Linked DNA regions of Arabidopsis thaliana. The protein of the gene in region 1 interacts with the protein of each later gene in a pairwise test. Each region holds a gene or a part of one and is shown in the gene's direction. Other genes may lie near its edges.

Region 1 (6,824 bases):
GTCTCTCTCTCTATTCATTATTTTTGTCATTTTAATTAAATGTGTTTTTTTTTGTTCAAGCAAAGTGAATGTGTCTCGACGTCCTTCTCTCACGTAAAAAAAATGGTTTCTAGTGTGATTTTCTTATTGATGATTTGAATATAGAAATGAGAAAAAAAAAGTTGGTAAAGGAAGTATGGTGTGTCATGCGCATGAAGATGAAATGTGATTTTTGAATGGTAGTTCATAATTAAACTGTATAAGATGGTATTATAAGTGTGTTTTATAATGTAATGTTAGTGTTAAACGAATCTGGTCAACTTACTTAGTGCGATTCCCGATTACATCCAACCTGATTACCTTTATATAAAAACCATTATCTTATTTTAGCTAGCTTGTAACGAATCACACAAGCAACCAAAAAGTTACCTTGATAATCTCAATCTGTTAGTACTCTTTATTTCATCCTTCGCTTTAATCTAAATTAATCCTCCAAATCCCTTTTAGAACATTGTTTTTATTGAAATACAAATTACTTCTGGTTAGGATTAAATGATTGATAAACTAATCAAAAGAATATTCCAAATTGTGGCATCAAAATATTTGATGAAGACATGGGGCCAATGGGAGCACATGATATCCTCATCACTTTAAATACTAGCTAGTATTTTATGTATCCATCAATTCTCTTCTTCTTTTTTTCCTTTTCCCCTTCAATTAATAGCCTTTTAAAGTTTTAATTTCCCTTGCAAATTGTCCTTTTAAAACCAGATATGATGATAATCCCTTACAAGTTACAAGCATGATTAACGTATGAATCTCCTCATAGTTTACAAACTGATTGATTCACATTCACACCACTAGTGAAACACATGACCGATTAATTCGACTGACTAATCATGTTTTAAGGGATATTGTCATGTGGATCATATCACTAAACTCTATTTTAATTGAAAATATCACACAAAAGTATAGTATAACCACATTCTTGCAAATATAGTGAAGAAATAATTGAATTCACACAAATTTTGGAGAAGGTTGTTGCTGATCGGGGTTGACTTTATATGTTCGCAAATAAACATGATATTTTATAAGAATTATATTGTACGATTAAATGACCGTTGTTGATCAGTTGGTTAAATATTGTTTTTTGCAAATTAAATAAGAGATTACAAGTTCAATGTCTATAACAAATTTCTTTACAAATCACAATGATCATAAAACTTAAAAAAAATTGGAGTCTAGCTAATGATGTAACACGGTTTAACAAAAAGAAAAGAGTATATGATGAGCTTCTCCAATAATCTTGGTTCAGCACATGAACTTAACCTTTCTATCTCTATCGACTCTCTCTGGTTTATCTTCTTAATCTTTGGTCGTCTTAACTCAAATCATTCAACATTAGAAGTATTCCATTGTAAAAATGTTTTGTTGTTGCAATTAGTGATTTAAAACAAACTAGAGACTTAAAACTTTTACGCTTTATCTTGTTAGTTTTTTTTTTTTTTAACTTAAAAATTAACGTGGTGTCATGATCATATCCCATCGAAGTTTAAGCATGGGGGTTTAACAACATGCATGCTGCATGATAGGAAAGATATAAAAATCTTCTAATTATTAATCAAACATTTTCTTGTGGAAAAGAAAAAGAAAAGGAAAAGCACATATATTGGTTATGAATGAAAGACACCATTACCTTTTCTTGGTTGCACACAACAAAGATGAAGTTAAAGGAGTTGTTTAGATAAAGCCACTATAAAGAGACTTTTCTCCTTTTAGTTTTCGCTTTAGCCAATTTGGATGAGTATGTGACTTTCCCAAATCAGAATTTTAGAAAAGGGTGGATCATGATAGGATTGTGTACTTAAACAGAAAATAATATTTGTTCAAATAGGTTTTTAAAGATTGAATGATGTTCTACCTCCCACTTGACAATTCCAAGCCCTTTATGGTATTTGAAAACCTTAAGTTGTTCCACACTCACACGGCAACAACAAGACATTATTGACTCATACAATGAAACCACACAATGTCAATGCGCCTCACACCATGACCATAGGTACCTTAATACGTATCATACTAGATTAATTTTGTTCTAGCTTGTAAATTTCTCTATGAAAGCTAAAAAACCTAAGACAAAACAAGTAAATTACCGTTTGGATAAAACAACTAAAGATTGGTTTTAAGATCGATTTGAACATTCTTAAGATTAGTTCAAATGGCCAAACAACGAAACACATATACTTAGTCTATGCTACACAATTCACCTTAACTAAATAACACTTATTGCTAATAAGTGATTCGTACCAATATGAATGATAATTCTCAACCGGTGACGTTTTACATTTTGTGAAACCGTCCTTTAACATTTTGTTAAGTGAATGAATGTGGTGTTCCTGTAATAAAGTAGAAAACTCAGGGGTAACAACGTAATTAAGTGGAAAACTCAGGGGTAACAACGTAATTACTATCTTTTCCGTTCCTAACTGACAGATTTCTTCAAGGAAAAAAGCAAAACAATTGGAAGAAAAAAACAAAAAAAAAAGGATTGCTCTCTTCTCTACCTCGTTCTTTTTCTTCTTCACGACTTCGGTCGGGAAAAAATTCCCTTGCCGTAACCGCATTTTCAACCCTAATGACTGACCCAGAGGTAAAAATCTCATTTTCAATCCCTAAATTTCCGCCGTGTTCGACTTCACATTCCCAATTAAAAAAAAAACAAGTTTTTTTTGTTTCTTCTCTGTTTCTTTTAGGTTTCATTTCTCTTTATATAAAGGATTGTTGTCTCTGATTTCGTTTATTGATCTGGATTGGTATTTCGGATATGGGTTTTGATTATTCCGTTCTGGGATTGCGATGAATTGTTTTGTGTTTTTAATGGTTAGCAGAAATTAACCGCCTTGAAGAAGGCTTACGCTGAGACAATACTGAACACAGCCAAGGAAGCGGCGGCGCGTGTTATGATTACTGAGAGGAAAGCGCGTGGGTATCAGCAAGAGCTTGCGTCTGTTAGAGATGAGGCTCTTCGTGCATGTCTTAGGCTTAAACAGATATATGATTCCAAGGTAAATTTTCAATTTTTAGATTTGTTTCTGTGGATTCTGTAAACTTGAAGAAACTTTTCATCATCTAAATTGTTTCTTGAGCTAATATTTTGAGTCTTGACATTGATTTGAGGATAAAGTTTTGACATTTCTGAGCTTTGTGTGATGACAATGAGCTTATATAGGGTATCGAGGACCTAGGTAGTATGAGAAACTGTTCTTTGGTTTACACTTATTTCAGTAACTCTTGTTTTGATTATAGCTTTGGGAATTGAGATTGTGGTACATTTTCTTGAGGATGGACTTCAATGTCACTTGTGCTGTATTTTTCCTTTCTGTTGCAAATTCTTCTTCTACTCTATTTCATTAAAAGAATTTGTGGTTATAGGTCAAGGAGGCAGAAATGATATCTTTGCAGAAGCAGCAAAAGATTGAGGAACTTGAAGCTCAACTTGGAGAAGCTGAAGATATAGTAGGAGAGTTAAGGACGGAGTTACGAGAATCGCGGTATCTCCTGGAGAAATTGGCAAATGGTTGTCAAACAAATCTTAGCAAAGAGGAGAAAGCCCCCAATGAAGCAGTTTCTTTAGAAGTGCGTGAGGACTCTAGCAACCACGAGAGATCAGTTGTGGCTAGTGTTATTAAACCACATATGAGTGACAGAGATCTTAGTATTAACCGGTGTTCTTATAAAGAGAATAAAGATCCTTGTCTTTATACTCTTCCTTCCATACTAAGTAGATGCAGAGAAGCTGAGGTGGTAGAAAGGAACACTATCAATGGAGATTGTGCTGATGTGGAATCACTTACAGAAGCAAGGAAGGAAGAAGCGAAAGAGAATGATATTGAGCTTTCTACTACACCTTTGTCGCCTTCTGAGAAACAGTGTATCAAATTCTCGTATAAGAGGAAGCATAATAAGGATGGAAGTAACAGCCCTGAAGGAGGAGGTTCCTCCTCACAAGATGATGATGACGACGATGAAAGCAGAAGCAGGAGACATAAGACTGGTGAGAAAGACAACGCGTATTTGGATTCTTTCACCAGCACTGAACCATCTCGTGATAGTCGACGTGTAGCTCAGGTCGCTCGTCAGGTTAGTGAATCTAGATAAATTTTCGGTTTCCTCTTGCTGTGACAGTTTCTGATCACTGTCCATGTGTTTTTTTTATTACCTTTATGCATAGCTATTATCTTGAAAGTTTTGTGGGTTTGTTCTATAAAATACTCAAGATTCTGACCTTTTTTTTGGGTTTTTTTGTTGGCATAGCTTTTACCATTCTCAGAGAAGAAAGGGTTGCAGCAGAGCCAATGTGATGATGTTCCTTGACTCACAAGTCACAAGTAATCTTCGAAGGTCCTGTCATCAAATTCCATTTGATCTTCTGGGAAAAATGGTTGATTAGAGAAATTAGCTGTAGTTGTAAGATTGTTGGCATATATAACCCCATTTCTCAGCTTATTAAACTAATGGAAGAAGCTAATTTTGGTCGTTGAGTTAGAATATTTCTCACACTACTTGGTTACATTTTTAATCGTCCGACTTTTCTATACCTTGACTAATCCCAAAGCACAAGACGATCATGTTTATTTTACTCAGAGCCTATAAAACAGAGCATTTTCTGATTATCCACCTATTAGTTCTCTTATCTCCTCGATTTTAAATTCTTTACCCAAATGAGAAAATCAGATTTGTTCGAGAACCTTGAGAAAAAAAAAATAGTCGTTATGCTTGAGTTTCTCAACTTCAGAGTCGTCAAGTCAAAACATTGAAGAGTCTTCGTCTAGACTCGGGGAATTTGAAGAAGTTTCCTCAATGTGTACTTGATTCTATAAAATATAAAGAATTTACTTCAATTTTTTCCACGAGAGATTCTTTTAATGTTCCAGAAGATTATATTGAGTGTGACAATTCATATAAAATAAAGTTAAAGAAGAAGCAAATCAATAGAAGTCATATTTGTTCACGAACACAAGGTTTGACCATACATAACGCGTCTCTTGAAATATGAATGTGTATATAAACAAAACAGAGGAACCGAGAGAACATCACAAATAAACTTCAAAGTACAAATTCCATTTCGATTTTAAAACTTTTGAGAAGACGATATACAATAATGAACGGAACATCGTGGGCTGACCAGTGGGACAATAGCGGCGACTCTGCCAAAGGAGGCCGAATCGGCAGCGGCGCCGTCGTGAGAAGCAGCGGAAGTGGAGCAACGTCAAACACGACCAAGTACAAGGAGAAAATGGGACAAGGGTTAGACAAAACCAAAGCTGTAGCTTCTTCTGGTTTTAAGAAGCTCAAGACTGGTTCTGCTATTGGTTTTCGTTGGGTCAAGGACAAGTATCACAAAACCACACACAAACAATAAAGATTTCTGTAAACTCCTTTGTATATGAGTATTAGTAATTTATTCACTTGCCAAATACTGTATTATGTCTGATCTATATTTTTCTAAGCTTGTTTGATTTGAATGCTTTGTTTACTGTGGTAAATTGTTCGAGTTTGGGTGGGTTCATGGATTAATTAAATTGTTTTTCTCTTTAATTTTTAAATTATTACATCTATAATAACAACGAATTATCGTTTAGACAAAATCATATTATGCGATTAAATCATAAATATATAAAAATAAGAAACGATTTATTTCGAAGTATATAACGTGTAATTTTATAAATTTTACTTTTAAGATCGGAGGGTAATTTTCCCTCGCTTCTGCAGAAACAATTTTTATCCGCCGGATCTGAAGTGGTTCTTCTTCAGAGTAAATCAATCGGAGAACCCAAAACCCTAGAAAGCAACCAGAATCACATTTCACTCTAAAATTATCGGCGGAAGCAGAAACCCTAGTCATTGGTTATATCCGTCGCCGGCGTTAGAGGGCCGTGATGTCGATAGAGATGCCAAGAGGTTTACCATTTGCCGTCGACACTTTTGGACCATACACGGAGACGAAGAGAAGAAAGAGACATCATTTCTTAACTCATGCTCATAAAGATCACACCGTTGGGGTTTCTCCTTCTAACATTGTCGTCTTCCCCATTTACTCTACTTCCCTCACCATCTCTCTTCTTCTTCAACGTTTCCCTCAGGTTTTTGTTTCCTCTATCTCTTATCTCTTCGTGTTTCCTTCTCTGTTTCCTCAATAATTGTCATAATTGTGCAGCTTGATGAGTCTTACTTCGTGAGAGTTGAAATTGGTCAATCAGTGATTGTTGATGATCCTGATGGCGAGTTTAAAGTTACTGCTTTTGATGCTAATCATTGTCCTGGTAACTTCCTTTGTACCTTTTGCTTTTGTTAAAGTCTTAGCTTTTTCCAAATTGTGACGAATTTCATAAACTTCAGGAGCCGTTATGTTCTTGTTTGAAGGAAGTTTTGGTAACATACTTCACACTGGTGATTGTAGGCTTACACTAGATTGTCTACATAGTCTACCTGAGAAATATGTTGGAAGAAGCCATGGCATGAAACCAAAATGCTCTCTTGGTTACATTTTCTTAGATTGTACATTTGGGAAATCATCTCACTCTCAGAGGTTTCCCACTAAGCATTCAGCTATTAGACAGGTGATTTGGCTTTAATCATTATGCATTGGAATCGTTTCTGTGTAAAGTTTCTCCATTTTCATTCTTGTTCAATGAATTCAGATCATCAATTGCATATGGAACCACCCAGATGCACCAGTTGTATATCTTGCTTGTGATATGTTGGGACAAGAGGATGTTCTCTTAGAAGTTTCTAGAACGTTTGGCTCCAAGATTTATGTGGACAAAGCTACAAACTTGGAATGT
Region 2 (8,297 bases), on another chromosome or scaffold:
TTATTATTTGTTTTGATAGCAGAGACAAATTTCGCTAGACTCTGTTAAGGGCAATATTTGAAGAAACTTGACCTTAACTTGAAGCTCTAAAAAATCATTAAAATAAACGAATCACGATGTGCATTCTGCAGCCGGATTTGATGATAAAATAAACAATTCCCTTAACCTTAATAAAAAAATATTTCAAATACGTTCCGAATCTCCACATATGAACAAACATATCATAAATCTTTAAAAATTATCTTTCTTCATGAATTGATAAACTGGTTTCTATCCGTATTGCACTATTGCTAAATGATTTATTATCGTTAGAGATGTGAATGCAAAGATAGATGTTATGAATGTCAAGAAGCGGAGAGAGATGTAAAATTTCTTTTGACTTGATCATTCTGAACATCCCAGGCTAATGGATCCTTTATTTTGATGGGCTCATAGATGTTAATTAAAAAAGCCCATATTACAAAAGTTTTTGTCTTTCACCGTTGGCTCGTGACAAAAAGTCGTCCATGATTGAGAGGACTCGCTGGATTCTTAATTCTTTTTTCTACTCAGACTATCAAAAGTCGTGTCACCGCAAAACTTATATATCGTAGTGACCTTTTCCAAAAAAGCGCAGGTCGAGTCCTTTGCTATCTTATCTTGTCTCGTCAGAAGCTGTTCCGCTTAATTTGTTTATCAACATCATATCGAATTTGGGACATAAGGTGCATATGTAACCCTAATTATCAACGCCAATAAATATGTTGTTTCTTTTAATTTCAGTAACTTAATTGATTGTATAGATCTTCTTAGATTAAGGCATTGATGTTTATAATGTTGCGGTTAATAAGAAGGCAATTCATAGGAAAAAAAACTTATTTTTTGGCGTAATTTAAGATTGTTGATCAGTTTGGTTTGTCCAACTTAAAAACTGTATTTTTTATTATAATTTTTTGGGGGCTAAATATAGATTGTGTAACCTATATTTAAAAAAACAAAAAAAAAAAAGACAAAAAGTAGATAAACAATAAATTAAAAAATGCAAATATTTTGAAATATAGGAAGCGGGGTAGTAGAATCTTTTTTCTGGCATATGGTCATAGAGACTCGATATGGGGATCCTAGGGATTTGTTTTTGGGCATAAAAGTGCTGTACAAATTTGTTTCATGTGGTCTAAGATTCGTCATCCCACCTTTATTATATCCGTTTGAATGTTTAGTAAAGTCGTTAGGTTTGTTATTCGATATTACATACTTGGTGTTACACCAATGACCAAACTGTGGATCAATTAAACCATGCAAAATGATGGATATAGTTTCACTCTATTTGATTTCATTAACAGAGAAAGACATTAAACTAATAATAACTACTATTGATTACATTTTTGTTGTCGAACTTTGCAATCTATTCAGTGGTAATATTATAGCTATTGATTGACAGAAATTAGCAAAGATGTGAAAATTGTAGTTGAAATAAAGAGAGTACAGACTACAGAGAAGCAATGATCAGTGTCAGTTACTTGAATCTAAAGTCACTTCTTCTTTCTTTCTTTCAAATCTGAGATTTTCCTAGTATTCGTTAAACACGTCAGATCAAGTGGGCTCACACACACCACCCCGACCACAATTAAACTCTCCAAAGTAGAGTGGCAATGGCATCCCTTTAAATAGTCCAAAAGTATAAGGATATTTCAGTCAAACCCTTCTTCATAATATTTGATGTTCAACTAGAAATAAGCCTTTCCCAACCAAAGATTTAATTTGTAACAAGAGAAAGAGAGAGAGAATGGCAATGCCACTCAAATCAACATCTTCTTCTATGTCTTCTTCTCAATGTTCATCTTCTTCTTCACCAACCTCAAGCTCCATGAAACTCAAATCCCTAATACAAACTCTCATCATTTCTCAAGTTTGTCGGCTACTCCGAGAAATATCTAGAGTTTCATCCATTCTTGTTAGAGTCTTGAGAAAGAAGCAATACAATTTCTTGTCAGTGTCTTCTTTACTCTATCCAAAGAGAGTCTCAAAGAAACAAAAGAATAATATATTATTCGGCTCCTTCAGACTTCACTACAACTTTTGCTCCTCTCACGTAGTGCCTGTCTCTGCGCCAGTGCGTCTCCCGGAAGAGCTCTACTTAGCTCATCTCGTACACGAATCGACTTGGGAGTCAATGTACTCCACTGAATCCATGGATGGTCGCGATGATGATGATCAAGAACCATCTCAGCTCTCTAGCTATCTAAGACAGCTAGAGGATAAAGTTAAAGACGGCCAAGAAGAGGAGACAGAGACGATGATGAATGAGATTGATAAATTGGCTGATAGGTTTATAGCAAATTGCCATGAGAAGTTCATGTTGGAGAAAGTTGATTCATATAGGAGATCCCAAGGAACCCTGAATAGAAGCGGTTGATAACGATGATGATGGGGCCTAATTTGTATCTTTCATTTCTTTTTATGTGATTTCACTTTTTCCTTCTTTTCTTCTTTTGAAACTCCTCACATGCATAGTTTGAATTATCTGAAAATGTGTATTGGAAGCATAGGGATATATGGATTGTGTGGTGTTTGTTGTGTTACAGTCTAATGATGATGATATTGATGGTGGTGGTTTATAAACTAGAATAGACGACAGTCCAAAAAGGAGAAGAGAGGATACAAATGGAATGGATTTTTGTAACTTTGGCTTTTGTGGTTTATGACGTTCTTTTGCTACTATCTTCTGATATTGTTGTTTTCTTTTGGTTGTATACAACGGGACCAATTTCGATTTTCAGTTTACTTATCTGACTTTTCTAAGATCCATCAGAAATAAAATATTTCCTTAAATAACATCATTATGCAAAAAATTAAGATAGTGTAACCTTAAAAATGCTAGACAACATATAAAACAAGTTATATTTAAAATATCAAAATGTTGATAAAATTTATAAAGTGTAAATTTTAATTTTCAAAATCTCAGTTTTTCCTAAATTATATAATTGTATTAACTAAAACTACATTAATTTAAAATTATTTATTAACTTTATGTAATATCAATTAAAAATAATATTCATATATAGTTTAAGCTTATGCATAATGGAGCTTATATATAGATAATTTTATTTTTTATGATATATAAAAAATTTAAACATTAAATTAACAAGCCTGATTCTAAACAATTTTAGCATAAAAACCAACTTTTATTTATTATAAATACAAGTCTTAGTTTAGACTTTAGAGACTCCAGTAGAGGTGCCTTAAAAAAAACATACATTTCATATTTTCATTAACAGTTTGGGCCAAACAGGCCTATGTTATCATAAAATAGGCCCAAAATGAAATTAAACAAAAACGCATCGTCTTGTCTTAAGCTGCTTCCGACCAAACTAAGGTTTCTCTCTCCTCCAACTTGGAACTTCCCGTCTTCGATCTTCTCTTCTCTCTCTCTTCATCGCACGCTGTGCCCAGCCAGCTCAAAACACTGCACTTCCGCTTTTTATCAAGATCAATCTCTACCAATACTTAGAAAAGTTCTTTCCTTTTTGTCAAATTCTTTCAATTTCTCTCTTCAATTCCCTACGAATTACTCACTTCGGATCCAATCAGCTCTTTATAGCCTCTGCGTTTGGGAGTCAATCTTTCTCTCTTCGACAATTAAGGGTTTCGTATAAAGATTGCTGTTTTACGACAGGATTCTGAATAAGGAGGTATAATTTCTGTTTTGTACTTAGTTTGAGCGATTTAAGACATTTCTCTTTTGTCCATTGAGAGATCTAACAGTTCTAGGGTTTGAAATATCACTGGAGTTTAAAAAAAAGGGTTTTACTAAATTATTCTCTTTCTTAGGGTTTAAGATATTCTTTTCACATTCTATTAGATTGTTTGATCATCTCATGTCTATTTTTTTTGCTGTCCGAATATTCGCTTAAACTAAAGTTATCCAATTTCTTGATACAATAAGTCCACCAATAAGCTCCTACATTCTCATGAGACCTCGACTGTCAAAATTATTCATGAATCTGATTAGTGCCAATGTTTTTCGTGAAGTACCTGAAAATTTAGTAGTTTGTTAAACTATTGATGTTATAAAGTGTTTTCTACATTTCAGAAGAAGGGTTGGTTTCATTTGGATGGAAAGTATATGGTAGGTCTACACATTAATATGGAAGCGCAGATTCATATACTTGAGCAGGAAGCTTATTCTGCTGTATTAAGAGCTTTTCAAGCACAGGCTGATGAATTTTCTTGGGTAAGTCCTCTTTCTTCCTTTTGCCATCAAAAGACAAAGGATTTGGCTTATATGGTTTCATTTTATAGGATAAAGCAACCGTGATGACAAACCTACGTAAAGAATTGAGGATATCTGATGATGAAAACCGACAACTGTTGAACAATGTCCATAATGATGATCTTATCAAAAGAATAAGGTAACGAGTCTGATCATTTGTGATAGTAAAGCTATGAATCTAGATTTCGTTGTATCTTGTAATAATGTGTTGTATGATGGAACTGGACCAACAGAGATTCGAGACCAAGAGGTGGAAACCAGGTTGTTAGACATCAGTCCCTCGATGTTCATCCTAGTCCGACTTTTTCAGCTTCTCGGAAGAAACAGAAGACGTTCCAATCCGTAAGACTTCTTGTTTTAATCTTTGGTCATAGAACAACAAGCAGAGGATATCTGTATTTGCATATGGTTTTCTGTTTATTTACTGATCATATCATTTGTGATACACATGCAGTATCCGTCGATTGGTTCTACTAGAAGTAAGTCATTCAATAACCGTGTAGTATCAGCAAATGAACCTGCGGAAGCTCTTATTGGAAGAAAAGTGTGGACAAAATGGCCTGAAGACAACAGCTTTTATGAAGCAGTAGTTACACAATACAATGCAAATGAGGTAACTTCTGATGGCTGAGACCTTTTTATTGAGATTGAATCAGAAATTCATATGTTCAGCATTATATATGTTTGTGTGTCGAGGTGTCTCCTGTACTTCGAATATCTGACTCCAAGGCCTCAAAGCCTGATCGAAATTTACCGTATAGTTCAGAGTTACTCTAGTGAGTGAGCATTGCAATTACTTTAGGTTGATTGTAACTGTGTAGAAAGCTAAGCAACTAGTCGAATCGCTTAGCTAGATAGCTCACTAGTTAAAAAGGAAGTTTAGGCAGAATGAGCCGGGGTACTCTGGATTAGTCTAGGATCATGGTTTAGGCATTTGTCGAAAGACTTCTCTAGTTAATCAAGTCTCTCTATAGTGTAGTTCTTGATGAATTGAAGAAAGGAGGTGTTTACTGTTAATGTGCATATGAGGCGTTGAAAAGTATACTATGACTTTGATATATCTAGAAGTTTGGAACTGTATTTAGCGTTGAACATAGCTTAAGTATATTGTAATTGATGCATTCATTGTTCTCTCGCAGGGTCGACATGCGTTGGTATATGATATAAACACAGTGAATGAGACATGGGAATGGGTTGATCTTAATGAGGTAATCTTCACGAGTTTTTGATATTATTAGGTTTTTAAGTTTTTTGTGGAAAATGCTGCCAAGAATGTCTTTTGGGTAAAGTTACATTTGTTTTTGGAGGTAGCTTTCATTAGTAAGATTACGTGGGAAACATTTGTATAGTGTATCCACCTAGTATGAAAACATTTTCAGCAGAATCTGAAGTTAGTTAGTTATATAATTGTAGATTCCAACGAAAGATATAAGATGGGATGGAGAGGAAGATGGGGTAACTTTGAATGTAGGACATGGCGGTGGAACAACTCGTGGGAATCGAAGGACCTTAAGCCATGGTGGTAGAGGGAGAGGTCCAAGAACTCAGCCAAGAAGAGAACATTTAGCAACGGAAAACGGTGGTGGGAGGAAGTTTTTCGGTGAGATTGAATTGTTCAACACAGACTCACTTGTGAAAGAGGTAGGTATCTCTATCTCTCTGCATTTTGTTTCTCTTTAGGCAAAAAGGGTTTTTGATGTCGAAATCTTTCGCATTAGGTCGAGAGAGTTTTTGATTCAAACCTTCCTGATCCACATGAGCTTGATAAGGCCAAGAAGCTACTCAAGGTGAGCGATATGATAATTGATAAGAACTTTGTGACGAGATATCGATTGAAAGAAACAGTGAAGTGAAACTTGGTGTTGTTGTTATTGGATGATATAGGAACATGAACAGGCGCTTATTGCTGCCATTGCAAGGCTTACGGATGCTTCTGATTACGAAAGCGGTAATAAATGTGAACAGCGGCCTTTGTTTATTTCTATTTGTCATGCACTAAGATCACTAACAACAACATAATTTGTGCTGGTGAACCAGATGGAGAAGAACCGTATTCGCATGAGCTTCCAATGCTGCTGGGGTGAGTATGTATGACACCATCACCCCTAGGAAAAATGACTAGCAATATTTCTTTTTCTTCTGTTTTGCTTTAAGGGATCCCAGAAAATGATTTTGTTCATATATGATGAACAATTAGTAGTATTCTTCTAATTTGTGGTTTCAGAATGTATGAAAATAATCGTTAGGAATTTTGTTTGTAAAAACACTATTTTTAAAAAAAAATTCTGAACTTGTGTGATCATCATCAGGCTTGCCATCAGGATCGTTAATAATTTACTTGCTCAAATCCCCAATTCCTGTCTAAACAATGTAAAAAGAATCGAACCAAGCATGTAAATATTGAGAAGAGGCTTTTGACCTTTGAGCATAACATTCAAAATCTGATTCAATTAGCAAGAATATAAGATGGAAAGTGAGATCAACATAAATCACCTGTCACTGAATCCTTCAATTTTAAAAATATTTCAATGGTTACTTTACTTCAATTTATTTTATTGTTTTAAAAAAATATATTCAATGGTTATAAGAACGGTTAACAATAAATTAGTATCAGGGTTATCGTCTTATCGACCCGATGTTAGAAATTTTTTATAATTTTTCTTTTGTTAAAATGACAATCTTAATTCTTAATGGCAATTATATGTTCAATCTTAATGGCAATCTTAAACCGATCGATTATTCAAATTATATGTTCCGTATTTTTTTTAGATTGAATGTTATTGATAGAGTTATCAGAAAAAAATACTACTTTTTAGTTTAAATTACTGTGATTATGATAAAAAATTAAAACGCGCCAAACTTAACGATTTTTTTCCAAAATTTCTACAAATGACTCGTTACCCAAATTATTTTTTCTGTATTTTTTGAATATATTAAAACTAATGTGACTATGATAAAACAATTAAAACGCGCAAATTTAACAATTCTCTATTTTTGAAACCACTGGATGTGAATTAACAATAAATATAAAGTAATATGTGTACAAATAATCAGAGTTGAATATTTTTTTGGTGTTTATTACTTGCATGAGTACAAGTTTGATTCCAGTCTCATCAAATAAACTCTATTATTGTCAAAACATAAATTCATTCTAATGTTAATGTATATACTTTAAATTTATAGTAATCCATATAATTAATAATGGAATTAGTCTCCTGGTCTTTTGGTGTTCCACGAATTAATTTATATTATTAACAAATTAAGCAAACCTCTATCCCCCATTTATATTGTTGAGCTGTGTGTGTGGAGATGATGATGATGATGATAAACCCAATAGAATTTTAAAAGGATAAGAATCGCAAAGCTCATATCACAAAACTTTGAGATCTCATTTCATCTTTCTTCGATTCTACCTACTCCGATTCAATCGATCTTATCGAGACATGGATGCTCGTAAGAGAGGACGCCCTGAAGCTGCTGCCTCTCACAACTCCAATGGCGGATTCAAGAGGTCTAAGCAAGGTTTGTTCTTTCACTCCTCTCCTTCCTATTGTCTCCAATTGGGTTTTAGAAATTCGAGATCTTCACAACAAGAGAGAATGTTTTGGTATCACTTATGTTTGTTCATTTCTAGTTGCAATGTGTGCTCTGTCTCTCGTAAAGGTTGTTCCTTTGTTCATTTTTGTGTTCATTAGAGAGATTAGTCGCAAACCCTTTTTCTGCTTCAGTCTGGTATTACCTTACTTGAGAGTTGGGAGACAATTGATATGAGAAGTTTGTATCTTGTTCTGCTTTGTGTTGTGCTATTGGCTTACCCTTCTTCTCATATTCATTGGATTCATCAATCAACTCCCATTAGCCTTTGTGACCACTCAACATTACTGGATTTACTTGATTGATATATTGATCTGTATCAACTCAAGCTGTTGAGTTCAATTTCAAAACTCTATAACCCTGGAAATTTTCAAAACCAGAATGGTATACTGGTGCCAAGTCCAAATGATATGTATTGAGAAAATTGTAGAAAAGTTTAACCAAGTAAAAG
Region 3 (7,878 bases), on another chromosome or scaffold:
CTAAGAATAAATTCAAAACATACACATGCAAATAGACAAAAGAAAAGTAGACTAATTGCAAAATTTCAATAGTCTTAGCAGAACTTTAAGTATAGTAAAACACACATACAGATATCCAGCTGTTTTTCTCTCATGTGACTCAGAACTTCAACAAACAAATCAACCGGTCACATATAATGAGAGTCTGTCTTTACGTTTCTATTTCGCAAGTGCTAGTAATAAAAGGTACAAATATGTATGCAGAGACAACATAAATGGAATGTTGCATAAAGAAAGGTCTTACCTTGAGCAAAAAATTTGCTCCAGAAACAAGACAATGCATTTCATCTTCTTTCTCAATACTAACGCCCAGCCGTTCCTTGAACAAGTCTGCAAATTTAAATGCCCCGCCACCTGTGACCTGAAAGATACACGTACGCTTGACTCATATGTTTAAAACAAGTAATAATCAACTAATCAAAGCCGAATCAGCAAATCACATTACATGGATATACAAGACTTATAAATATAAAAAACGTTTCACCTAAAAACAATAATTATGAGGGTCTTAAATGTTATCTGGTATCTCAAATGAAAGAGCGAGCTAAATATATGCAGAAGGAGCCTCAAAAGGTGATAAAGATAAAAACAATCAAGTCATAAAAATGCGATTACCTTGATAACACCAGTCCCCAAAGGCAAGGTCTTTGAACTCCAAGGATAAGGATCTATTCATTTAGTTGAAAAGAAATGGAGAAGAAGACGAATTGAAGAGTAAATCACCAGAAATTGATCTTATAATACAAAACAACATTTCATACACTGAAAAGGATAAAAGTAATAATACCTCGGCGATGAAGCTGCTTGGAATGAATAAAATCCAAGCACTCATTAATTTTGTGAGTCTCAAACTTGACAAAATGAAGTCTACCACCAAGAACAGGATAACTTCTCAAGTTGCCATTGGTAATACCCAATCTCTCCTTGATCGTCCTCTTCCGCTTATCATCATCATTAGAGTAGTCCTCATGTCGTGAAAAATACAACAACTTTATCAAAGAACCTGCAAATAAACTTAAAAGGGTTCATAATTCTCAAACATAGCACTTAAGAAATAAACATCGAAATTGCCAAAACCAAGAAGTGACACCAAATACTACTGGAAGAACCACAAGCACTAGATCAATGGTCAACTACAGTGAAAATAAAAAAGAAGTGAAATTTGTTGTCACCTCCGATATCAAGAGCCAAATGAGAGATATCATCAGACTGATTAGGCAATAAAATGGTGGGATCTCTCTCCTCGAGGTTCCCCTGAATTTCGGCTTTGCTTAGATCAAGCTGAGGTCTAGAGCCTGATCTGTGGATCGGAGTACCAGAAGTAGAAGGAGCCATATTTTTATCAGCAGCAACAGAAACCTGAGATTTTGCTTCAGCTTCTCTTTTATTGTCAAGAATTGGATCATACTCATCCTCTTGACCCGCCATTTTTTTTTTTTATTAAAAAATAAAAAAGGAACCCAACCAAACCCAGAAAAATCGGATCACCAACAATTGCCTAATTCTCCCAAACCACCACAAAACCCTTCCTTGCAAAGTTTAAAAAGTCAAACGACACGAACTGATGATGATAAGACTTTCCAGGGTAAAGAAGTAAACTGTTCGAGCTTTTGCTAATACGATTATACGACTAAGCTTAGAATCGCTTAAGCAGGCTGAAGCGGACCTAACTCCAAACAAAATTTGTATTTATATATAATTGTTTGTTAACTAATTAACTACCACATAAATTTCCCAAAAAAAAAAAAAAACTACCACACAAATTTGTAGTTTTTAATGAATTTGTAAGTGGATTAGGTTTGGTGTTTCACAATAATGACCAAACTCGAACTCCACTTGCCACTTATGAGTTTTTCCAAGTCATAGATGAGGATTACTGTGTTGGTTTCGATATCTTAATTAATCCGTCACACTTAATTCTTTATGTTTTACGATTTTTTGAAGTTTAAGATTTTGCTAACATTACACTATTCACGATAAATCACTTTTTCAGATTTAAGATATTTTTCGCCGGAATTTAGAAGGTAGGATATCCTTTAAAATGCTTTTGTGAAGATGGATTATATTATACAATTGGACTATTTGGTGTAGATAAAATCTTATGTGGGAAACAAATATTTTAGGAACACTAAACCAAAAATACCATTGTTACATTTTTTAATGATAAAAAAGTTCACTTGCAAATGTAACAAGATACAACCTCGTTGGGTTGATATGTTAAGAAAACTAGCTGATGGATTGGTTTTTCATTGGGTCTATTGGGCCAATGTCATGGGCCTGATGACTTTTATTCAGTTTCTTAAATTTATATTCCAGTTTAATATAACATACTCTTTAGTGTGTAAGCATTTCTAACCACGCGACTAGCCGACTACGCGAAAGAAAGAGAATTGTCATACTAGAAAACCGTTACCACGTACGTAATTAAGAAGAGTCCATTATTTTTACAAATAGATCCCTTGGCCGTGTATTTGGACAATGCCGACATGCATCTTATGAATAAGGGCAAAAAGGACTTTCGAGTTTACTGGCGACCACAACTCGCAAGCCAACGCGAGCCTCTATTTATTATTTTGTATCCTTTTTTTTGGTAAAAGAATTTTGTAACAATATCCATTCCCTAGCTAGATTCTTCTTCTTCTTCCTTGGATTTGTTCTCGTAAGCATTCTTCTCCAAAACGCCCACTTGTTAAATTTGATCCAGTGGATTTGGGTTTTGTTCCGTCTTTAAGCTCCATGGCGATTGCATAATTATGCTCTCAGGATGGGTTTCTCTCAGGCCATTCGCTTGAATCTTGCTTCCTTCTCCTCTCCCTCTCCCTGCGATGTTTGTTTCCTTACCTTTCTCTATATTATCCCCTATATTTTCATTTATATATCGCTGCTGATTCACAACACTTTACTTACTCTTAACTTTATCAAACTTGAATTTTTGACTTTTGCTGGCCTTGTTCTGATTGTTCCTTGTTCTGGCTTAAAAAGATTGCAAATTTCAATACTGTTCCTTTAATTTGAATAAGTTTGCTTGCATCCATATTGATTAGTGTCTGTCCAAAATAATCAAACTTTTGATTTTGATTTTGATGTCGGCCATATGATTTTTTCTTATGCAGTATTGTTTGACAAGAGTAGTAAACCATAAGCAGAAGAGTCTTGTCGCATTCCCGAGCATTACAAGGAGAAAGAGACATCTTTTACTGAGTGTTCAATCAGTCTTGCACAATACAAGACCCAACATCAACGACAATGGCTCAGCTGAGTCTGCAAATGTTCTTTTCGATAAATTATTTGCTCGGACACACAGATTGGAGAGACAAACCAATCAACACTCGGTTTATCCTGACGATGATGATCTCCCCTATTCAAACCTTGGCGTGCTTGAGTCTGACCTTGAGGCTGCGCTAGTGGCCTTGTTGAAAAGGGAAGAGGACCTGCACGATGCTGAGAGGAAGCTTCTCTCTGACAAAAATAAACTTAACCGGGCAAAGGAGGAGTTAGAAAAACGTGAGAAAACAATCTCTGAAGCTTCGTTGAAGCATGAGAGTCTACAAGAGGAGCTGAAGCGGGCAAATGTGGAGTTAGCTTCTCAAGCCAGGGAGATAGAAGAGTTAAAGCATAAGCTAAGGGAAAGAGACGAGGAACGTGCTGCTTTGCAATCGTCCTTGACTTTGAAAGAGGAAGAGCTAGAGAAGATGCGTCAAGAGATTGCAAACAGAAGCAAGGAGGTTTCTATGGCTATTTCTGAATTTGAAAGCAAGTCACAACTCTTAAGCAAAGCCAACGAAGTTGTCAAGAGACAAGAAGGTGAAATATATGCACTTCAGAGAGCTCTTGAGGAGAAGGAAGAAGAATTAGAGATTTCTAAGGCTACGAAGAAACTTGAACAAGAAAAGCTTAGAGAAACAGAAGCCAACTTGAAGAAACAGACAGAAGAGTGGCTGATAGCCCAGGATGAAGTGAATAAGCTTAAAGAGGAAACCGTGAAACGTTTAGGAGAAGCCAATGAAACCATGGAGGACTTCATGAAAGTGAAAAAGCTTCTGACTGATGTAAGATTCGAGCTTATTTCTTCTCGGGAAGCTTTGGTATTTTCCAGGGAGCAAATGGAAGAAAAAGAGCTACTATTGGAAAAACAATTGGAGGAACTCGAGGAACAGAGGAAAAGTGTGTTGTCATATATGCAAAGCTTGAGGGATGCGCACACTGAAGTTGAAAGTGAGAGAGTAAAGCTCAGAGTTGTTGAGGCTAAAAATTTTGCGCTTGAGCGGGAAATATCGGTCCAAAAAGAATTGCTGGAGGATTTACGAGAGGAGTTGCAGAAAGAGAAACCATTGTTGGAGCTAGCTATGCATGATATATCCGTTATTCAAGATGAGCTTTACAAAAAAGCTAATGCGTTTCAGGTATCACAAAATCTACTTCAGGAGAAAGAGTCAAGTTTGGTGGAGGCCAAACTAGAGATTCAGCATCTGAAGTCCGAACAGGCTTCTCTAGAACTATTACTGCAAGAAAAGGATGAAGAACTCGCTGAAGCTCGAAATAAATTGGGAGAAGTGAACCAGGAGGTAACAGAGCTAAAGGCACTTATGATCAGTAGAGAAGATCAGCTTATGGAGGCAACTGAGATGCTGAAGGAGAAAGATGTCCACCTTCACAGAATAGAAGGTGAGTTGGGCAGTTCCAAGCTGAAAGTCACTGAAGCTGAAATGGTGGTGGAAAGAATTGCAGAATTGACGAACAGACTGCTTATGTCAACCACCAACGGTCAAAATCAGAATGCAATGAGGATTAACAATGAGATAAGCATTGACTCAATGCAGCAACCACTAGAGAAACCTCATGATGATTACGGAATGGAGAACAAACGGCTGGTGATGGAGTTAAGCTTCACCAGAGAAAATCTACGGATGAAAGAAATGGAAGTTCTAGCGGTGCAGAGGGCTTTGACATTTAAAGACGAAGAGATCAACGTGGTCATGGGAAGATTAGAAGCCAAGGAGCAGGAACTCAAGAAATTGAAAGAAGAAACGATCAATGACAGTGAAGATTTGAAAGTGCTATATGCCTTGGCACAAGAGAGAGTCGGGGAAAAAACAATGGGTGATCTGGCCATAGAGATGCTTCAGCTTGAGGCAGCTAACCTTGAAGTTGAAGCTGCGACCAGTGCATTACAGAAGCTTGCAAAAATGAGCACGGAACTGTTAACTCAAGCTGACATGAGCATTGAGGCCGACACAACTCACACTGTAATGCCAGAGAGAGGGTATTCAGAAGGAAGTAATGAGTGTCTTGGTGAGGTAAAAACAGAAGTTGTCAGGCTCTGGTCCTTGACAGAGAAACTCCTGGAGAACGCAGGAATCGTTGCTGGTACATCTACATGCATGGAAGGTGTAATTTTATAAAGCTTTGATTAACTTTATAAGCCTAATCTGTATGATTCTTTTGTGGATATGTAGAATTACTGGCGGTTAAATATGTTTACTTGTCACTGTGAGCAAGTCTATTGGAGAGTCTTAATCAAGAACTCTTTGCATTTTATAATAATAAATATTAAATAATTTAAAGTTTAGAGTTTTTATTGAATCTTTACAATTTTTTATTGTCCAATGGTGGTGGAGACTTTAAGAGGATTTCTTCAAAAAAAATAAAGATTTTAAAATAAAATATTATAAAGTTTTTTATTTGACAAAACTTAATAATTATTAGAAATAATAAAATTGTAAACATGCATCATGACATAAAAGCAAAAAAATATATAGAAATGAAAATTTGAAAAAGGATAATATTTAAGCTTGATTCGGACCAAAATTTTGCCATATATATACTCTGATACTCAATCAAATCATATTTCAATCGTTCATGCTAAGTACAAAAGTCGGGTTTTGATACTTAATAATTACTACAAATATTAAAATTGTATACATACATCATGATATAAAAGCAAAAAGAAAATATACAAATCAAAAAACTTAAATAACGACTAGATTTAAGCATTATTAAAACAATGCATAATCCTTTTTTTATATAGTTTTTTCTCAGCCAGTCACAAAGCAACACAACTAAAGTCTTTAACAAATGTTAAAACTCTAAGCTTAGGATCAATCCTTAGCCTAATATCTTGTTTTCATTTATTTTTATTACATTGGAGGTGGTCTAAGTGATCTCAAAACTAAGTGATTTTTAATGATTTGTATTTGTTTATTACGTAGATAAAATTCAGCCGAGAGTGGCTGCCACCACAAGGTTCTTGCCAAGGGTAATCTCTCGTTTAGGTGTCGTTGATAGAAAAAGGTTTGCGACGTACCCTGGGACTTATGCCTACAACAGCATGTATACACAGATAGTAGGCCGTTAGAGTGTAACTGATAGGATCACCCCTACTAGCATCGCCAAATACCAACCTTGCCCCTAAATTTCCTTCTCTATTTTTTTGAGTAACTTTTTTATAAATTTTCAAACTCGCTCCCGCTTCTGAGTCTTTTTCCGTACGAAAGAGAGAGAGATACGTCTATGCGATTCTAGGGTTTTTCCGGCGAAATTTCTCAGCCAAAGATGGTGGTGGTAAGCAAGAACAACGAGCAGCAATCGCTCATTTTGGTAAGTCACCTCTTCTAGCTCCAATTTCTCGTTCCTTGCTGGTGATTTTCGCAGCTGGATTTAGTTTGCGTGTGTAGCGTCCTGCGTCTAGAGATGGATTTTCGTCTTTCGATTCTCAATCACGCCGATACATATATTTTTGGCTCTGACTTGTTTGTTTTGTTCTTCGTTGTGTTGAAATAGACTACGGAATTGCTCCGTACTGCCATCTTCAATATCAGTTACATCAGAGGCCTCTTTCCCGTGCGGTATTTCAAGGATATGTCGGTTCCTGCTTTAGGTGAGACACTAACCATGGAAGTTTCTACAACTGTTTAATGGGAACCTGACGCTTTTGAATCACAATATAGATCTGAAGATGAAGAAGCTAATGCCTATGGACGCTGAATCACGCCGATTGATTGGCTGGATGGAGAAAGGGGTCTACGATGCCCTGCATAAGAAACACCTGAAAAAGCTGATATTCTACATATGTGAAACAGTAGATGGTCCCTTGATTGAGGAATACATATGTAAGTTCTTGGGAGATGATTGGTTAGTTCAATACTAGTGTAGTTCGCTGGTAAAATGGTCCGATTAATTGATACTCTCACTATGTTACTGCAGTTTCTTTCAGCTATTCAGATTCTGACAGTCAAGATGTCCGGATGAATATCAATATTACTGGAATCAATACCTATGGGGGAACTCTTAACTCCACTGCTGACAACTCCACTGCTGACATGACCCTAAATCAAATGAGGTGAAATTTTTTATCCTATTGTGAGGTCTAGATTGTTTTATCTTGCATAACCTGCTTAAAATTATTTCATGATTGTAGTGACAACACGAGTTCAGCTTGCAAAATGGTTCATACCCTAGTTCAGTTGATGAAGACTTTGGACAGAATGCCCGAAGAAGTAATGCATTTGTTACCTATCAGAGGTTTTCAGTTTACATCAGTTTCCATATTGCCAATTACAGACTTTGTTACTTTTTTGCTTCTGTCCAGCGCACCATTTTGATGAAGCTTCTTTACTACGAATATGTGGTATGCTTTGCTTTCTTTTCGAATAATCTTATCTCACTTTCCTCTACTCTGAAAATTGATTGCCCATAAGAAAGGCTGACAGCTCTTATTTGAACCTTTTTGCAGCCACCAGATTACCAGCCACCTTTCTTCAGAGGCTGTTCAGAAGAAGAAGAAGCTCAGTATGTATGGCCAAAGATTCCTCTGAGAATGGAAATTGGTAATGTTAACAG
Region 4 (6,966 bases), on another chromosome or scaffold:
ACCTGCTGTTGCCACTACGTTGCGTTCAAAGGCTATTGAGTTCTTGGAGAAGTGGAATTTGTCTTTTGGGTTTCATTACAAGGAGCTTAGACTTGGGTTTGATTACCTTAAGAATACCCTCAAGTTAAAGTTCCCTGATTTACAGGCTAATGCTGCACGGATTCAACGAGAGAGACAGGAGAGGGAGATGAAGACAAAAGAGATTTTGCGGAACAAGTTTGATTCCTTGAGAGTTAGTTTTGGACTCTTCAAGTATGAGATTGAGGTAACGATAAAGGAAATCAAGGAGTGTATGGAAATTGTTCAGTGGAGAGGGGATGATGGTGTTCCACTTGCGATCTTAGATGAGGAAGATTTTGAGGAGATCCGTTGTTCTCATCTGAGGCAAATTCGTCTTGATTCACTGAAACAATCAGAAAAGGTTGAAGAAACTGGTGAAAACAGAATTGTATTTGATGTGTTGAGGGAACAGTGCAAGCTTCTAGTGACAAAGCATCTGATCTCGGTTCAAGAAGGGATCTCTCTTCTCATTAGGGTTGACGTAAGTGATAACAGAACGAGAGATTCCATGTTGAAGGACTTGATTGATATCAGGAATAACATATTGGCAGCTAAAAAGAAATGGGAAGAAGCTGGTTTTACAATGTCAAGAATGACTGATATTCACGGTAATGAAGAAACAAACGAGGAAGAAGAAGATATCTGGGAGGAGGATGATGGCAAGGTTAAAACTGATTCAGTCAAGAACGTGGCTCATGTGATGAGAACTCAGCAGAGTGAGAATTCATCTTTACCATCATCAGGTGAAGCAAAGAAGTCTACATCAGAAGCTAGGTCCAATAAAGTGTCGAACACTAAAAAAGTTGGAAGCAGTGGAAACTCTCTTAGAGACAAGCTAATTTCTGAAGCGCCTGTGATGAATTGGGGATCACAGTTGACTAATTGGGAATCAACTACGGAAGTTCGAGCTAATTACCGGGGTTTAGAGATCGAGAGCCACTGGGGCAGGGTGGATCAAGATGCTATAATTCCAGCAGATAAAATAGCAGAATTGAATCTTCAGGCAACCGTGTATAGAGAAGAGAGAACAGAGACACCTCCATGCCGTGCTTCTCTAAAGAAAGGTGGTCTTTGCCAGAGAAGAGATCTCAGAGTCTGTCCGTTTCACGGACCCATTGTACCCCGGGATGATGAAGGAAACACCATAATCCAGGAATCTCCATTAGATGAGAGTGAAAACCAAACTTCTTCAACTTCAGGGACCAACCAGGATGTGTCTATGGATGAAACAACTTCAGATTCTGATCCTAATCAGTTAGCTAGGCAAATAGCGAAAGAGGCTCTGAAGAATATCCGGGAGAAAGACAAAGAAGTGGTGAGGAAAAGAGCAAAGCTTGTTAAGGTTAAGGTTAAGGAACACAATCATGAAGTTCTGCGTGGTGCGGCAATAGCCTCAACTTCTAGATCGAATGCTATGGATGATGAGTTTGATAGAGTTTTTGCTGAAAAGAAAAACAAGAAGCAAACCTTTTCCACAAGGCGTAAGAAAACAACGGCTAAAGATAGAATATCCCAGAGACTGTTTAGTAATCGAGTAAAAGGTACTAATCCACAGCAGTTGGCTCAGGGCAATGATGAAAAGTGCCGGGATACATCGGCTAACCAGTGGTAACAAATAACTAAAATCTTTCTAGTTTTGATCCAGTAGTGCCTTAAATTTGATTGTTTGATGCAAATAGGAGTAAAAAGCTAAAGAATATTTGATGAATGAATAATCAGATCCGCTTGTGATCTCTTGTAGCTGTGAAAACAGTTCTTAAGTCAAGTCCCAGATTCTTTGAAGCTTTATATTTTTCTCAGACAAAAGTCACAAAACCCAACAGAAAGATAATAGTACAATTGACATGTTCTGTTAAAAAGCAACGACAGATCATTGAAGCTGGATGGATCGTTGTTGTTCGCTTTTTTCTTTTTCTTTTATGTGGTGTGTTTAAGGATGATATCACTCATGAGACCGATCACTGATGAGAAGCAATTATTAATTGAATAATTTGCTTTTAAGATTGTGAGAGTTTGCTTGAGATGAAGAAGAGTAAAATGTTCATTTACATTATCATTGGTCTTTGAAGTGACTTTGAACCCAAGCCACATCCCATTACTTATTATTCCTCTTATGAATTTCATATTCTTAAACCGTCTAATTTTACCTAAATACATCTCTTAAAGTTTTTGTTAAAGTAAACAGAAAGATGAGCATGTTTTTCATGAATCTTTGAATTTAGCTGTCATTTTAGAAGTTGAAAATCATTTTTCTTGTACAAAGGAAAAGAAATTGTTTGAATTAAAAGTAAAAAAAGAACACACAATAATGATAGACAGAATCCCACTAGAGAGAAAAACATCTAGAATAAAAAAAAAGAAGCAATCATGTGCACCATGTACATATTTAGGCCCATCTCTACTGGATCATGGCCCTTTAATTAAAAACAAAGAAATCATTGAGTGAGAGAGGATATACTGTACGTATATTATTAGAATATGATTATTTTTCCCCTATCCAGTAAATTCTTCTGAATCTCTTATAATTCAATTTGTTTCCAAATAACATTCTCTCTTTAACACAGCCGCCTTTGTGACCGTCCGATCTTAAATCAGCGTTTCCGGTTCATTTGACGGCAACTATCTCTCTCTCTCTCTCTAGAGAATTGATGAAGAAGAGCATCTATCTTTTTTGTTTTTGAAAATTAACAACACTTCACGAGGGTTGACCTGTTTCGGTGGTGTTTCTTCAATTCCGGATTTTGATCTTTCGTTTCGATCGAAGATCAATCAAAGTCTCCACCTTTCTTCAATGGATTTGGATAGCATGGACTGTACATCAACCATGGATGTGACAGATGATGAAGAGATCCACCAAGATCGCCATTCCTACGCTTCTGTTTCCAAGCATCATCATACTAATAACAACACCACCAACGTTAATGCTGCTGCTTCTGGGCTTCTCCCTACCACCACCAGTGTTCATGAGCTTCTCGAATGTCCTGTCTGCACCAATTCTATGTACCCTCCCATTCATCAGGTCTTTCTTTTCAATCCCTTGTTCTCTGATTTCGTTTCCCCGGATCTTTAATTTGTTGATTTTGTTTAGGGTTTTGAGTTAATGATGTGAATCATGGATGTTGAAGCAGTGGTTGTGTTGCTCTTGTAACTTGAAATTTAGTTTTATCCATTCACTAATGGCTACAATTGAAACAATTGTCACTAAATTTTGTCAATAGCTTTGATAGTTTCTAAGATTCTTCTTATTGTTTCTTTAGAGAATTATGGAATAACAGATAGACAATTATTTGATTTCCCTACAGTGTCACAATGGACATACGTTGTGTTCAACCTGTAAAGCCAGGGTTCACAACCGCTGCCCAACTTGTAGACAAGAGCTCGGTGATATCCGTTGTTTGGCACTGGAAAAAGTAGCCGAATCACTTGAACTACCTTGTAAACACATGTCACTTGGATGTCCTGAAATCTTCCCTTATTACAGTAAGCTCAAACATGAGACTGTATGTAACTTCAGACCTTATAGCTGCCCTTATGCTGGATCCGAGTGTTCTGTTACGGGCGATATCCCTTTCTTAGTTGCTCATCTGAGGGATGATCATAAGGTGGATATGCATTCTGGGTGTACTTTCAACCATCGTTATGTCAAGTCTAATCCTCGTGAAGTCGAAAACGCCACATGGATGTTAACTGTAAGTACATATGAATCGTGCTTCATAGTATACACTTAGATAAGTTAGGAGGCTTTGTTTAAAGTAATAGGATTATATTTGTGATAAAATTTGATCTGTCTGGTATAAACTGTAATGTGATCAGCTGAGTCAAATTTTGCTTTTGTTGCGAGTTAGCTTTCCTAGAGAAGGTCCAGTTATTTATCTAATCTATGGTTGTGAATTGTGAATCTTCCATCTCGCTATACATGTTGACTTGATATACTTTAATGCTTATCAAGGTTTCCTCTGTTTTGGTTTTGTTTCTGGTTCAAAAATGAAAATCAGGTCTTTCACTGCTTCGGTCAATACTTCTGTCTTCACTTTGAGGCATTCCAGCTCGGAATGGCTCCAGTCTACATGGCGTTCCTGCGTTTCATGGGGGACGAGACAGAAGCTCGAAACTACAATTACAGTTTAGAAGTGGGAGGTTATGGTCGGAAGCTGATATGGGAAGGAACACCAAGAAGCGTAAGAGACAGCCACAGGAAAGTTAGAGACAGTCATGATGGACTAATTATACAAAGAAACATGGCTCTCTTCTTCTCAGGTGGAGATAGGAAAGAGCTGAAACTTCGAGTCACTGGAAGGATATGGAAAGAGCAACAACAAAGTGGTGAAGGTGGAGGAGCTTGTATCCCAAACTTGTCTTGAAAATTAAAAAAAAAAAATCAAACTGATTTTGAAAACCTCACCGATTTGGCCTTGTCTCTGTAACCATGGTTATCTGTAATTAGGGTTTTCTCTGACGATAAACTTGGGGTTGTTCTTATGTATCTCTCTCTGTCTTTCTCATGTCATGGAGGTTTTTTTATTATAAAATATATAGTTCATTACAATTCTGCTATATCTGGAGGAAAAACGTAAAATGTTGAACCTTTTACTTTTATCAACTGTAGTGTTCATAAATTTATGTAATGCTTGTGTTGTGTCCACGAAACGACGACGTTTCATCATTGTTCTGTTAAACCCAGCTTTTGGAACTTGGAAGTGATGAGCTTTATATCTGGAAAATGTAAAATGTTGAACCTTTTTTCAACTGTAGTGTTGTTCAAAGGCGTTAGCTTTGTTTAAGAAACGACGACGTTTCATCATTGTTCTGTTAAACCCAGCTTTTGGGGGTTTTCTCACTCGGAAGTGAGCTTTATCCCTTTGGTTTCCATCAATGGAGGTTCTACTAAACTCCAATGATGGTTTCTTCAATTTCTCGTCTTTCTCGTCCAATTCGAACAGGAGACTCGCTAACCAACGTCGATTCAACTTGCCCATCTCCAAATTCCACTACTATCGCGTTTCAATTCTCCGAGTCTCGGCTCGGTTCGGAGAGACCTCGAGGCGACGTAATTCGCTGAGGAAGAAGATCATCGGTGATGAGTATTGGCGTTCGACTCCGAAATCTTCTGAACCAGGTACGAAACCTCTAAACGAAAGCCATAAGTTTGGTCACTGTGATGATTTAAGTAGCACCGAGGGATTGAAAGATAGGGTTGCTCAAGATTCAAATTTGCTGAATGAGCTTGAAGATTGGGTTGCTCGGTATAACAAGGAAGCAGAGTTTTGGGGTATTGGTTCGAATCCCATTTTCACTGTCTATCAGGATTCTGTTGGAAACGTAGAGAAAGTAGAGGTTGATGAAGACGAGGTCTTGAGTAGAAGAAGATCAGCTCTTGGGGATTTGGAATCAGTGAGTTCTAAGCTTGTATATGCGAAGAAATTAGCTGAACAAATGGAGAATGGGGAACATGTGATCCATAAGGAGAGTTCTCTTGTCAAGTTCGTTTCTTCTTCTTCTTCTTCAGAGGAAGAGTTTCGTCTCGTTAGCTCAGTCCAAAACGCAATTCTTCGTCTTGACTTAATTCCAAAGTTGCCGGCGATTGGAAGAGCTGTTTTGTGTGGTTACATTGGACTCTGGTTGCTGAAGACGGTGCTTGTGTATAGGAAGAGTAATGAGGTTGAGTGTACAGAGTTGGAGAAGGAGATGATGAGGAGAAAGATGAAAGCTTGGCAGGAAAGGGATATGTCGGAGAAAGGTACCGTGGAAGTTTTGCACAAGGAGGGTTTGGAAAAGCCATTGATGTCATTTGAGAAGCCTAAGTTTGATCGAAATGAACTTATGACTAGTATTTCTAAAGTTAAGGGTTCAGAGAAGAAACTGGAACTCGTGAATTCTCCTCATGTTGAGCTGGACTTTGTTGATAAGATCCATGAAATCAAAGCAATGGCTAGACGAGCACGGGAGATAGAAGCTGGCATAGAACTTAATGAAAAGCAGAAGCTCGATGTGAACAAAGAAACAGGCGACAATGAGGAAGATATAAGCATTCAGTCACAGAAGAGTCTTCCACATGAGGCTTTGACACACAGTGAAGGTGATGATGATAAAGATGAACGCTTGGGAACTTCGACTGACAGTGAGAACACTGAACTTTCTGGTTTTGCTGTTCCGATGTTGAATGGGGCTATGGTAGATTTTGGTTTTCTGAATCATGAAATGGCAGCATCTGACAAAGAAAAGGTGAGTAATGTGGTACCACCAGTTCCTACAGACGGAGTCATCCAATCTTCTGATGTCTCTAAGGATCAGTTAAGTATGATGAAGAATAGCACTGGTCGTAAGTCACGGGTCATACGGTCTGTAAAAGAGGCTAAAGAGTTCCTTTCAAGAAGAAGTGGTGAGAAAGAGCTTACTCAGGAACCTTCTCAGATGATAGCCCAAGATAGTGTTGAAATCTTCTCAAAGCAGAGCGACGAAGAGCGTGGTGTAGCTAGAAAACACGAATTGGTTGACAAAAATAAAATCCTTGGTGCAGCTGTCAATGGAACCTTGAAATCTGCACTTGAGTCTACTTCTTCTGAACCGTTGGGGAAGGATGCTGATTGTCAACCCCAAAAGAATGATTACCAAAAACTCTCAGAACCTGGGAATGCAGTTAAGGGATCGAGCAAGCAAATAAATTCTTCAAATAAAATCGAAGAGCACAATTTTAAATTTGCCAAAAGTTCTTCTGGTGGTACTGAACATATAGAGAAGGAAGAACCATCAGGGAAGGGGAATTGGATAGAGAATAACTACCATGAATTTGAGCCTGTTGTTGAAAAAATGAGAGCAGGATTTAGGGATAATTATATGGCTGCTAGAGAGGGTGAAACTCGGGAGCCAGGTACAATTGCTGAAATTGCAGAACTTTACCGCAGTGAG

What was found.
Region 2: the proteins of AT1G19010 (region 1) and EML2 interact in a two-hybrid assay, tested with the Arabidopsis thaliana proteins (one large-scale study listed by BioGRID).
Region 3: the proteins of AT1G19010 (region 1) and AT4G32190 interact in a two-hybrid assay, tested with the Arabidopsis thaliana proteins (one large-scale study listed by BioGRID).
Region 4: the proteins of AT1G19010 (region 1) and AT3G61790 interact in a two-hybrid assay, tested with the Arabidopsis thaliana proteins (one large-scale study listed by BioGRID).

The regions. Positions count from the first base shown.
Region 1 is NC_003070.9:6,563,002-6,569,825, forward strand, and holds AT1G19010 (uncharacterized protein), read left to right. Parts: upstream 1-2,492; 5' UTR 2,493-2,614; coding exon 2,615-2,629; exon of another isoform or gene 2,630-2,867; coding exon 2,868-3,044; intron 3,045-3,411; coding exon 3,412-4,119; intron 4,120-4,293; coding exon 4,294-4,353; 3' UTR 4,354-4,661; downstream 4,662-6,824. Other genes in the region: AT1G19020 (CDP-diacylglycerol-glycerol-3-phosphate 3-phosphatidyltransferase), read left to right, coding at 5,141-5,401; AT1G19025 (DNA repair metallo-beta-lactamase family protein), read left to right, coding at 5,919-6,122, 6,197-6,302, 6,379-6,599, 6,681-6,824.
Region 2 is NC_003076.8:2,092,186-2,100,482, reverse strand, and holds EML2 (Emsy N Terminus (ENT)/ plant Tudor-like domains-containing protein), read left to right. Parts: upstream 1-3,243; 5' UTR 3,244-3,671; intron 3,672-4,072; 5' UTR 4,073-4,105; coding exon 4,106-4,213; intron 4,214-4,281; coding exon 4,282-4,391; intron 4,392-4,485; coding exon 4,486-4,594; intron 4,595-4,706; coding exon 4,707-4,865; intron 4,866-5,391; coding exon 5,392-5,460; intron 5,461-5,665; coding exon 5,666-5,893; intron 5,894-5,970; coding exon 5,971-6,039; intron 6,040-6,136; coding exon 6,137-6,200; intron 6,201-6,289; coding exon 6,290-6,336; 3' UTR 6,337-6,595; downstream 6,596-8,297. Other genes in the region: AT5G06790 (cotton fiber protein), read left to right, coding at 1,766-2,395; AT5G06770 (KH domain-containing protein / zinc finger (CCCH type) family protein), read left to right, coding at 7,696-7,774. UniProt on the Arabidopsis thaliana protein: Probably involved in the regulation of chromatin states. Contributes to RPP7-mediated and basal immunity, especially against Hyaloperonospora arabidopsidis isolate Hiks1. Regulates negatively EDM2-dependent floral transition.
Region 3 is NC_003075.7:15,542,249-15,550,126, forward strand, and holds AT4G32190 (Myosin heavy chain-related protein), read left to right. Parts: upstream 1-2,551; 5' UTR 2,552-2,803; coding exon 2,804-2,866; intron 2,867-3,152; coding exon 3,153-5,441; 3' UTR 5,442-5,609; downstream 5,610-7,878. Other genes in the region: PANK2 (pantothenate kinase 2), read right to left, coding at 284-400, 655-707, 827-1,042, 1,212-1,467; ASY2 (DNA-binding HORMA family protein), read left to right, coding at 6,592-6,636, 6,820-6,916, 6,987-7,148, 7,243-7,378, 7,498-7,666, 7,772-7,878. UniProt on the Arabidopsis thaliana protein: Required for the initiation of starch granules biosynthesis in leaf chloroplasts. Involved in determining starch granule number and size in chloroplasts.
Region 4 is NC_003074.8:22,869,429-22,876,394, reverse strand, and holds AT3G61790 (Protein with RING/U-box and TRAF-like domain), read left to right. Parts: upstream 1-2,561; 5' UTR 2,562-2,851; coding exon 2,852-3,079; intron 3,080-3,362; coding exon 3,363-3,749; intron 3,750-4,055; coding exon 4,056-4,421; 3' UTR 4,422-4,698; downstream 4,699-6,966. Other genes in the region: AT3G61800 (ENTH/VHS protein), read left to right, coding at 1-1,672; emb1703 (embryo defective 1703), read left to right, coding at 4,933-6,966. UniProt on the Arabidopsis thaliana protein: E3 ubiquitin-protein ligase that mediates ubiquitination and subsequent proteasomal degradation of target proteins.